3 linked regions of the Schizosaccharomyces pombe genome follow. The gene in region 1 interacts genetically with each later gene. Each region holds a gene or a part of one and is shown in the gene's direction. Other genes may lie near its edges.

Region 1 (4,207 bases):
CATGTGAACCTGAATACAATCGAAGTTCTTTGGTTAGAGCAAGTGATGTGTTTACTTCAAACGTATTTGATGCTACAGAGGAAAGCGCAAATGAACTCGCCATTCGTATTTCAGAGCTTCAAGCTGAGGTTGGAACCTTATTGTTGGAAGCGACTTCGTTGGCTTCTATCATAGAGCAGCAGACTCCCGTGTCCCCCGAAGCTTTCAAGCAAGAGTTGGTTGCAGATTTAAATTATAGATTAGATTATTTACGGAAATCTTTTCAACCTGAACTGTCTACCTTACTTTTGAGGCGAGACGCTTTGTCTACGACTGTCTCTAAATTGCAAAACGCTTACAGCACTGTAATGGAAGAAACCGCATATCTGAATGTTAAGAACACAGAACTGGTAAGCCTTAACAATCAATTGGAGAGAGAATTGGCATACTTGAGGGAGCAGCAGCATAAGAAGCGAACTTCTTCCTCTTTCGGAATATTTAATAATGATAAAAAATCCAACCGAACGATTTCAACCCCGTCTCCGCGAGAATCGTTTTCGCGTCTACAAATGGTTGCATCTAGCCTTGGATTTAGACCCAAAGACAATAAAGACAAGGAGAGTGGAGGGTATAACAAACGGAACTCTAAAATAGATCTTAAGAAGTCATTTTCTAAACGGTTTCATTGGAAAAGAGATTCTCCTCACATGTCGAGTACTCCCAGTATTTCTGAAGAACATTTAGCTTCTGAAGAACAAGAGGATTTCGTTCCAGCGGTCGGTCACTGCAAACTTTGCGGTAAATACTCCAATGAGCTTAGAGCACATTATCAGGATTGCGTTAGTTCTACTATAGATCGTCAGTATCAATCTAAAAAAAGCGAATCTCCTGTTTGGGCTTTGAATCCTGACGACTTCGATCAAAACAGGCTAACACTCTTGAGAGTCCCGACGCTTATCGTTTCTTGTATAAATTTTATCGAGTCATACGGCATGGATTTTGAAGGTCTGTATCGCAAATCAGGGGCAACTTCTCAAATGAAAAAAATTGTTGCGTTACTAAGAAATGAAGATACGGTACTTGATCCAAGTGAGGATATTTCTGCTGTCACTTCTGTATTCAAGCAATATCTTCGCAACCTTCCTAATCCAATTATTACCTATGACCAATACTTTCCGTTCATCACAGCAGCAAATTGTGCCTCTTTCCAAGATAAATTAGACGGTTTTATAATGGTCATCAAAAGTCTTCCTCCAGCTCATGCTGAAATTTTGCAGCTCATTATTAGACATTTAGCAAGGGTTGCTGCATATAGTCATGCAAATCGAATGACATCCAAGAACCTTGCAGTAGTATTTTCCCCAACATTAATACGCGACCCCGATAATTCCAGAGACGTTATTGACATGACTGTTAAGAATTACAGTCTTGCGTTTTTGATAGATCATGTACATGAAGTCTTTGCCTAAATTCACACTATCCTTTAATAATTCGCTCTTTTGTTTTGCACGTTCCTTTATATTCTTTATTCGTCTTTTTTTGTTGTTTTAGTAGTTGTACCATAACTTTGGGCAGTTATATCGAGATTCCTTTTTGCATTTGCTAAGATAGTTTCATTTTTGGTCATTTTTAGATGTCATCGTGAAATCAGTGGCAGATGAGTGTTTTATGGATTTGGCGTATAGCTTCTTCATAATGCATTATCACTGCAGACTGACATCCATCGCTTTTATTTAATCATTTCCCTGTTTTAGTCTACTTGGCATTACTCACAATGCTAGGCTATGAATAAAATGCAATTGCATGTATAAAAAAGGAGAAATTTGTATTTTTTTTTAATTTTATTATGCTTTCAAGGATTTAAAGAAGCATTTTTTCCCAAGATCCCTAACTTAGGAAATGCTAGTGCAACGTATTGTGAGTAAGTGATTTTGTAGATATATCATGCCCATTATCTTAATGGAATTCTAAAAAACCAAAAGCAATTCCTATAAACAAAAATTATATACGTTATATGGTAAATTTTTTGAAGGGGGTTAAATAGAGTTTCGAACGTCTAACAAAAAACCAACTCCTGTTTTACTACCACTTTTTTTTGAGAAAAGAGGGTCTTTAAGCAGGATATTTTATTATCTATGTGAACAAAATTACGGAATTTTACTAATGGCAGATGTTATTAAACGATGCATTTTGGGCCCGACTGAAGCCGGCTGGTTCGTCGCAAAGTCTCAAATAAAAAAACCAGTTGACCAAAGACCGGTTATCCTAACCCATTGTAAGCTGCACAGCAAAATGCTAGAGCCAAAGGCGATTGTTTATAAAAAAAATTCATCTGCAATTCCTAAACGAGTTGACAACATTCTTCTTCGAAGTCAAAAGCCCAAACATATAGAATGCCTACTTGTGGACTCTAAAATCACCAAAACAAGGAGCCTTTTGAAAAGATTTGGAAGCTGTCTTGATGAAACTAGTACCATTGTACTTTTAAATCAAAGTGTTTCCTTGTGGGAGGATTGCTACAGTTTATTTCCAAAGACTGAAACCAGACCGCGAATATACCTTGGCAGGTTCCAAACTCTATTCAAATCTTTTCCATTTAATTTAATTAGTGATTCTTTCAGTTATCGTCTCAACCTTAGCAAACTTCCTCGTACACCTTTGGAGAAGTGTACGGTAGCTAGAGCCTGTAAACAGTTTCCGTTAAACCAAAGGTCCCCTTTACTTGACTTGATGGGTTCCTTTGAAAGGGACTATGTAAATTTTTCAAATTTTTCACAGATGCTTTCTGCACAGTTATGTGACTCTATGGCTTTTTTAATTCAAATTTTTCCTACTCCATTACTCAGGCAAAAAGCTGCGAATGCGTGGATCGAAGTACTTTCTAAATTACCATATTTCCATATTCTTGATAAATCATTTTTTTCTCCCCACTTGTTACTTCAAAGCTCTGAAAATCAAGCATGCAAATTTTTTAATATTGGTCCTCAAGTTTATTTCGATCCTAGGGAAAGATTGCTTCATGTTAAGGAGTTACTGAAGTTCGCTTTAAAGCATATTGACAGTAATGATTCTCTATTTACATTCTTAAAGCAAACTTGTTATACTTGTGATTCGCCTTATGCTAAAGTGTTTCAGCCCGATAAACAGTCGTTTCATAGCATAATTTCAAGAAAGCGTCTTGCTCATCTTGAAAAGGAATATTTTGATAAGGATGTATCCAAATTAGTGCTTTGATTTGATATGAGGTGAAAAATTGACCGAACATATTCCATCTACTGGTAATTTAACTGTTCAATCCGTTCTAATAAATTCACCATAATTTCGAGAGAAGGTTGTTTTCAATTTTTTATGTTAAAAAGAAAAAGCAAAAGAAATCTAGGGATAAAATATCGCTAAATTTAATTCTTAGCCTGATCCAAAAGCTACTGAAGACTACTGTATCTCAGATAAAGCATTGTCAATTATAACCACTCCCCCATGATGTTTCATTCTTAGTCACTCCTTTGTTTATCTTCGAGGATTCACTCATCTTTCAAATAATTTGAACACCTATACTTTGTTGAGATTGCAAACAGCCTCTATTACCTTTTTATTGATCATAGATCATTAACTTGAAAAATGTTAGTTATAAATAACATAAAATATTACTAAAATCATTTCATTCTCATCTTTTTTCACGGTTTTCCTTTTTAGGTAACAATTTATTGTCACTTGAAATTCATGAAACTCGAGTGTATAGAAGTTTTCATTTCTACAATTTAGGCGTTTCGAAGATTAAGTTGTTGTGGCATAGAATTTCTTTAAAAGATTACTTCTTAACTTTTAGATTGAAAAGTAAACCAACAAGCAAATCATTAGCCAAATATGTCTACAGCTGAACAATTATTTGGGGCCGAAGAAGAAGAGAAGTACGTTGACCAAGATTTGAGTGAAGATGAAGAAGATGAACGATTTTTAAAAGCTATTCGTTCCTCAAGATCAACAAAACCAGTTGTAGACGTTTTAAAGGTCAAATCTGAAAGCTCCGCCGATGAGCTTGAGGAACGAGATGCCCATCTTGATCGCTTCCGGAGAGATTCCACGTTCGAGTCTGAAACTTCAGACCATGAAGACTTTTCAGGCGGCTCTGAAAATGAGCTGGATGAGGAGACCACAAAAAATGCAAATTCTATAAAAAAAATATCACTTGAAGAAGTTGAAAAGCAAAGAAAAGCTATTAAGCGTTCAG
Region 2 (3,494 bases), on another chromosome or scaffold:
TTCCTAGGAGCGATATGATTTTTTTGGATTTCACGATTTTCTTTATCATTCTCCTCATGCTCTGGTGGATGGTGAATGTCACGAAGCCTTCGTAGTACAGGAGGTATAACATAATCTTTAACTGTGTCTGCCCAAATCATGTCCAAGTGTTCATAGCTATCAACCTTAACATGCTCCACCTCCGCAGGCAAAGCATTCAACATCGCTTGGATATCAACGAGTGAGTCGCTGCCTCCCCAAATAAGATAAATAGGGGTGCGAATATTATTTGTAGGGAATTTGGCAGCTTTGTAATATTTGAGGAAATAGTCATGACCAAGCTGGTCATTATCATACATTCTAAATTCTGCGCTTCTCATGATTTGAAACCAATGCACAAGGCACTTTACACTAGTATATGAATACAAATGGGCGAATGAAACCAAGCGTTGATAGGAAGAAATGTTTTGGCAAGACCAGTTAAATAACTGAGACAAACAGTATGCAAGGACTGCATCAAAAAATTTTGGAGCTGGATAAAAATGTCAGTGAAATTATTAAAAGAAAAAAACCGTACCTAAAAAGCTTTGCCAGAATCCGGCAGACGGCAAAATAGATTTTCGTCCGAAAAGGAAAAATAATATGGAAGGTCTGGCTTTTACAAAGGCATCTACAACTCTGTTATGTAAACCTTTTGGACTAATTGCAGGTGCTAACGCTATCAAAGAGTTGATTTTGTCATTCAACAGGGGATGGATACTCAAAGAAGCAAAAGCTTGAGCAGTGCCCTGAGAAAATCCTATATAAGTGAGCTTTGTTTGCCCAGAAGTTTTTAGAATATAGTCAATGGTATCGGGAATATCGTATTGAGCAAAATCGTCAATGCTAAAGTCCCAAAATTCCTTGTCAGTAGAGTCGAAGCGAAGATGTTGACGACTGTATTTATTTCCTCGATTATTTCCGAGCTTAAGCACAATTAGTAAATAATTTTTAAAAAAGAAAACTCGAACGAAAACCATATTAACTTTACCAGTAACTAATTATTTAAAATATGATAAATTGAACGCAGCAAAATACTTACCCAAACATCGTATCCTTTATTTACGAGATCAAATACTAGGCAATTTCTGGGGTCTACATTACAAACCCAGACTTCCGAATTCATCAAAAGACCGTGATGACAGTAAACGACCGGAAGCTTTTTGGGATGAGGAGAACCAATTCTTCCAGGGGAATCCTTCGATATCCTATGAATACAAAGTATGTAATCATCCTCTGTTCTAACGAGATGGTCCTCAACATAATACCCAGAAATTTTGCACATTTCTCGTATGTCAGCTGCATCGTGAATTGCCTTTGCCCTTTGAAGGCTAACGCTTCTCGACCTTGATCTTTTCTTTGAACGTTTTTTAATCTCATTTCGAACTACTGATCGATAAAACAAGCCTAGCGTATTGTGAATCATGAAGGCCAGGCATGAAAGTAATTTTTCAAAGATTACAAAGAAAAACCCCAAAAATAGGGCCATATACTCTTCCCTTTATTTGTCAGTTAATATATTAAAAGATTTGCATACCATTTTAGACGCTGAATAAACGGTAACTGAATCATTTCGCATATTGCGTGGAATGGAGGTACTAAACCTTGCCCTCTGCCAAACAACTATTTTTGGGGGGACTTTTGAAATTGGTTTAAAAGCAATAGCCTTTTAAATTTATTTTAGTATTTTGCAAACAGAGATAAATATTTTGTTTGTTTTCTATTTTTTTACAAGGTTGTCGGTCTATAAGTTCGATTTTGTTAACAAAGCCTTGGGTCATAATTTTGAACAGAATTTGCCCACCGTTTGATAGTTTCATTTCCGACAAGCTAACAACTACTTTTAAGGCTATGAGTTCACTAAGCGATCAATTATCTTCGTTTAAAAAGAAAGTCGCAAATCAACCTATTTATGCAAAACCTCAACCTCGTCAACCAGCTTCTCCGACTCCAACAGCTTATTTGAATTCAAATGATGGACATTCTTCTGCCGCTTCAAGTCCAGGGTCGTATTCCCTGAAGAAAAAGCGCTCAAAGACGTCTTTGGTTTACTCGCAACCCGCTGATTCTGGTGTTGGAACGCATTATTTATCACAGCTACACTATGCAGTTGAGTATTTAAAAGAGAGAAATGAGCCTAAAACGGCTGAGGAAATTGCTTCTTACCTGTCAACTCCATTGACTCCTATGTTACTCAATCTTTTGAAGAAAAATAATCGCATTTATTATGATGAAAGAAATGAAACGTTTACCTTTAAGCCATTGCATAACATTCGCTCAGGAGCAGGTTTATTAGCATATTTAGATTCACAAAAAACCCACGTTGGTATGAGTATCAAAGAGCTTCGAGACGGATGGCCCAACGTTACTGTTGAACTTGAAGAACTAGAAAAACAGGGAGAAGTGCTTTTATTACGTACAAGGAAGGATGGCGTTCCTAAAATGGTATGGAGAAATGACAAGAGCTGCGATTGTCATGTCGATAAGGAGTTTCAACAAGTTTGGCATGAGATTCCCATTCCACCCACTTTGGATTTAGCTTCTGAACTTGGAAAATACGGTTTAAAGCCCACTAGCGTGGATCCTTCAACCGTAAAGCGTGCTGGTCATAATCAAACGCCTAAACAAAAGAAGCCCAAAACTCGACGTGGAAAGATTACGAATACACACCTTAACATTCTTCGTGATTATAGCTCCATGAAACCTTGAAATCATATTAAGGATCCCATATTTTTTAACTAAAAACTGTGTTGCTTTTGGTATTTAATTTCATCCGGTTACTGTGTTGTTGTCTGGTACTGGATGTGTTTGAAAAAATAGCTATCTATCTTACATTCCTTTTTCCAAGATTTGCATGGACTGGACATATTTCCTCTTTGTTTCTTCTAATCTATTTGCAACTATGGAAGAAAACTCTATTGTTTAATGATGATGATTTTTTACATAAACTGTTAAACCTATATTAGCTGACAATTAGTCGGTATTGTTGACAAGTGCATTTATTGCTCTGTAGTTAATTTGCACTAGTATACAGTGACTAAGTAGACAATTACATTTAGTTTAAACAGAAATTCTTATCTTTCCCTTTTGTGCATTGTCGAAATAGAAAGATCAGTTATGTATTGAAAGGTGTGTTTATGTAGGTGAATGTTTTGTGGAAAGGAAAAAAAACGTATTTCTTCACTCATGCTAATAAATTGATTTCATTAGCATGCATTTTTGTAACGAAAAAATAAATTAATATTAGCTCCCGGCGGGACTCGAACCCGCAATCCCTTGATTAGAAGTCAAATGCCCTAGCCATTAGGCCACGGGAGCTAGTTAGTAGAACGTTATATTATGTATATTTTATATATAAATTTATAATTTATCACCATTTTTATCCTATACTGCTAACTCTAAAAGATGTAGAAATATATGGTAATTCGTAAATATAAGAAAGCAGAGTGCATGACTAAATAGAAGATCGATGTTGG
Region 3 (2,767 bases), on another chromosome or scaffold:
ACGACTTTGGAGTAAGGGTTCGTGTTCACGACTGGCAATACGACGGGCAGCTTTCCAACGATAGTAGTAAATTTGCATAAGTAGGGTACTGTCAGAGACAATGTAATAAAATGAGAGAACCAATACAGTAGAAGAGACATTTCCGTAAATGGAACCAAGTACATTGAAGAAATCGCCAATAAGCCAGATGATTAAAAATAAATCAGAGATACTTTCACCAGACTGGTTTTTATAATTTTCAAGTAATTGAGGGATCAGTAAAACGACCCAACATCCCAGGGATAATGCTCCTAAAAATGAAGACAACTCCGTGAGTATGTTAGCCATATCAAAAGAAGGAGCTATCACAGACATGGGACAAAAATGCTTGCGAACAGATAATTTTAAAATGAATTTGAGAAGAGCTTGTCTAAGCTTTTTATGGTCAAAGTTTTTTATATGAGTGTGGAGGACAATAAATAAAAAGAACGGGAAACAAAGGGCTACAAAAGCGAAGCAACCTGAAAGGGAAATCAAACTATTAATTTAATAGGAATGATAAGCAATTATTAAAATTTGTCAACTTCCTCGAACGTGTAATGCTTCAGCACTATAATATTCGCTGATTTATTTTAGCGATCCAAGAGATGATACTTAATGAAAATTCGTTACAAGTATTTTTTTTTGTTTTAAAAAATAAACACTAAAAGGAATATCTATAATAATAATAATAACAATGGTAAACAATATTTCTCCCACTGTAAAGAAACAGAAGAGATTTGGTGGTGAGTTTGGCTCTGGATAAGATCAACCTCCCAGCCGTCCTGTTATTTATTTACCTCGGGCAAGGCTATATAGAGATTTCAAGATAAGAAAAATTTGCCGCCCATGCAGTTTCGCAGAATTAAGAAAGTGTCCGTGGATTTACAGATACAATTGATAGTCAATCCAAAGGTATCATTCTAAAGAAATATAAAGGAATAGTAAGCGAAATAGATTTTCCTTCGAATAATCCTATTTCACTTAACAATATAATTCTCAATGTAAATAACAGTCGCATTAATTTTATCAATGTCAAGCTAACTCGTTTTTGTTATAAAATTTAATACACCATAATATCGCTAGCAGTATTAAACATTGAAATGTTTACGTGACTTGTTTGATTCTCAGATTATTTGCAGTAAAAGATGTGCTAATTCCATGATTTAATTTCGAGACTATAAAACTCTATAAAAATTTCTTACAAATTGGGATTTTTATTTTTTTTTCTAAACAAGGGTAATGAAAAGTCATGAACGATTCATTTCGTATATTAAAATATTAAAAATAATAATAATAAAAAAACGCTGAAAAAACTTTTATTTCTAAACTCACCAAAAGGACCCGAATAGTATATCTATCCATTAGTTTAGAAATATTTTATTAAATCTTTTTTTTTTATACCAAGTAGAAAACAAAACAAAGATTGCTGTCTGGTTGTATCGCATATGTCAGCATATTAGAAAATCCATTTTCTATTAACGAAGTCTAATTGGTGATGATGGCCGGTTTCTGAATTAGTCTCCCTAAGTACACCGTTTGGTACTTTCCACGAACGTACCATTTCCTCATTAATTTTCCTTGTAAAGGAGTAAAAATTATCCACATTCATAAGTTTTAACGTTATACTTAAACAAAATGGGCATTTTCGGTGGAAATAGTGGAAATGCACCTTCTTCTGAAGACAAAAAATCCATTTTCATGAAACAAATTCGTCAGGAACTTGCTGTTGCTCAAGCTGGCGAATTGATAAGTGTATGCTCCATTCATTTTTTATGTTTTATTGAATGTTTTAACTAATCGGTTTATCTAGAAAATCAATGAGAACTGTTTTGATAAATGTATCCCGGAGCCTGGTTCCACATTCGATCCCAATGAAAAGGTATGAGAACTATTAAAATACTTTTATTCTAACTAGACAAAAGTCTTGCGTTTCCAAATGTATGGAACGCTATATGGATGCTTGGAACATTGTTTCTCGAACCTATATCTCTCGTATGCAACGAGAGCAGAAAAATCTCAACTGAATAATAATGATTTTTTTTTCTATCATTTTGTTTTACTCTCCTATGATATGTGTCTTGTTGTATAGTTGTGAAGTGACGGCAAAGCTTAATATGCAACGTAGAAATTTTTCTTTTCAACGTAGCTCACGCGCTTTCTCTCTAATAATTATAAACTTTCAGCAATTAAAATTCGTTTCATGTTCTTTTCCTAATCATGCTAAACACTTACAAGTGTTGTTATACTACTGGGTAAAATACTTATAATTGTTTCTTTGACATGTAGCATTTAAGTATTATTGTGTAAATAACAGTTTAAATATTTTCATAATAAAGAACGATCACCGGAAAAACTAGAAAAACTAGAGATTCATTAAATTTCCTTATTCTTATCATTTACCTTGATTCTTTTGTTTTTGTTTAACTGATTCAACAAACTCCTTAACATTTAACTGACACACCACTTCACTGCAAAGTTGTTTTCGGTTACCCTTGGGTACGTTTGATAAGATCTCTAATCCGCTTGCTCGTTCCACAACCTCAACGGGAACTGCAAAGTTCTTTAACGGAAAGTTGTCAGCAATAGGTTTGTTGGGAAGAACGAATGCAGCTACTGATGGACTTGAGGTAGGCTCTCCTGATTTTTCTGCAATGATTACTTTAAAAAAATGAGTAGGAACTGCGACGTTGGGAGGATTGCCAATTACTCGATACTGAACTTCCCATTGTCCACGTTCATTTTTTTT

Evidence for each region. Genes that interact genetically often act in the same process or in processes that back each other up.
Region 2: mutations in cbp7 (region 1) and tfa2 together harm fitness less than expected from each alone (positive genetic interaction), as found in Schizosaccharomyces pombe (one large-scale study listed by BioGRID).
Region 3: mutations in cbp7 (region 1) and tim13 together harm fitness more than expected from each alone (negative genetic interaction), as found in Schizosaccharomyces pombe (one large-scale study listed by BioGRID).

Annotation. Positions count from the first base shown.
Region 1 is NC_003423.3:1,841,319-1,845,525, forward strand, and holds cbp7 (protein Cbp7), read left to right. Parts: upstream 1-2,048; 5' UTR 2,049-2,142; coding exon 2,143-3,213; 3' UTR 3,214-3,685; downstream 3,686-4,207. Other genes in the region: Rho-type GTPase-activating protein Rga4, read left to right, coding at 1-1,448; U3 snoRNP-associated protein Esf2, read left to right, coding at 3,844-4,207. UniProt on the Schizosaccharomyces pombe protein: Translation factor for cob1/cytochrome b; plays a role in cob1 mRNA stabilization and required for correct folding of the protein.
Region 2 is NC_003421.2:578,689-582,182, reverse strand, and holds tfa2 (transcription factor TFIIE subunit Tfa2), read left to right. Parts: upstream 1-1,625; 5' UTR 1,626-1,869; coding exon 1,870-2,727; 3' UTR 2,728-2,963; downstream 2,964-3,494. Other genes in the region: SPOM_SPCC1672.09 (triglyceride lipase-cholesterol esterase), read right to left, coding at 1-511, 557-944, 1,061-1,517, 1,556-1,590. UniProt on the Schizosaccharomyces pombe protein: Recruits TFIIH to the initiation complex and stimulates the RNA polymerase II C-terminal domain kinase and DNA-dependent ATPase activities of TFIIH. Both TFIIH and TFIIE are required for promoter clearance by RNA polymerase.
Region 3 is NC_003424.3:4,482,422-4,485,188, forward strand, and holds tim13 (TIM22 inner membrane protein import complex subunit Tim13), read left to right. Parts: upstream 1-1,569; 5' UTR 1,570-1,656; coding exon 1,657-1,773; intron 1,774-1,831; coding exon 1,832-1,900; intron 1,901-1,943; coding exon 1,944-2,045; 3' UTR 2,046-2,236; downstream 2,237-2,767. Other genes in the region: G-protein-coupled receptor Stm1, read right to left, coding at 1-354; endodeoxyribonuclease Pnu1, read right to left, coding at 2,414-2,767. UniProt on the Schizosaccharomyces pombe protein: Mitochondrial intermembrane chaperone that participates in the import and insertion of some multi-pass transmembrane proteins into the mitochondrial inner membrane.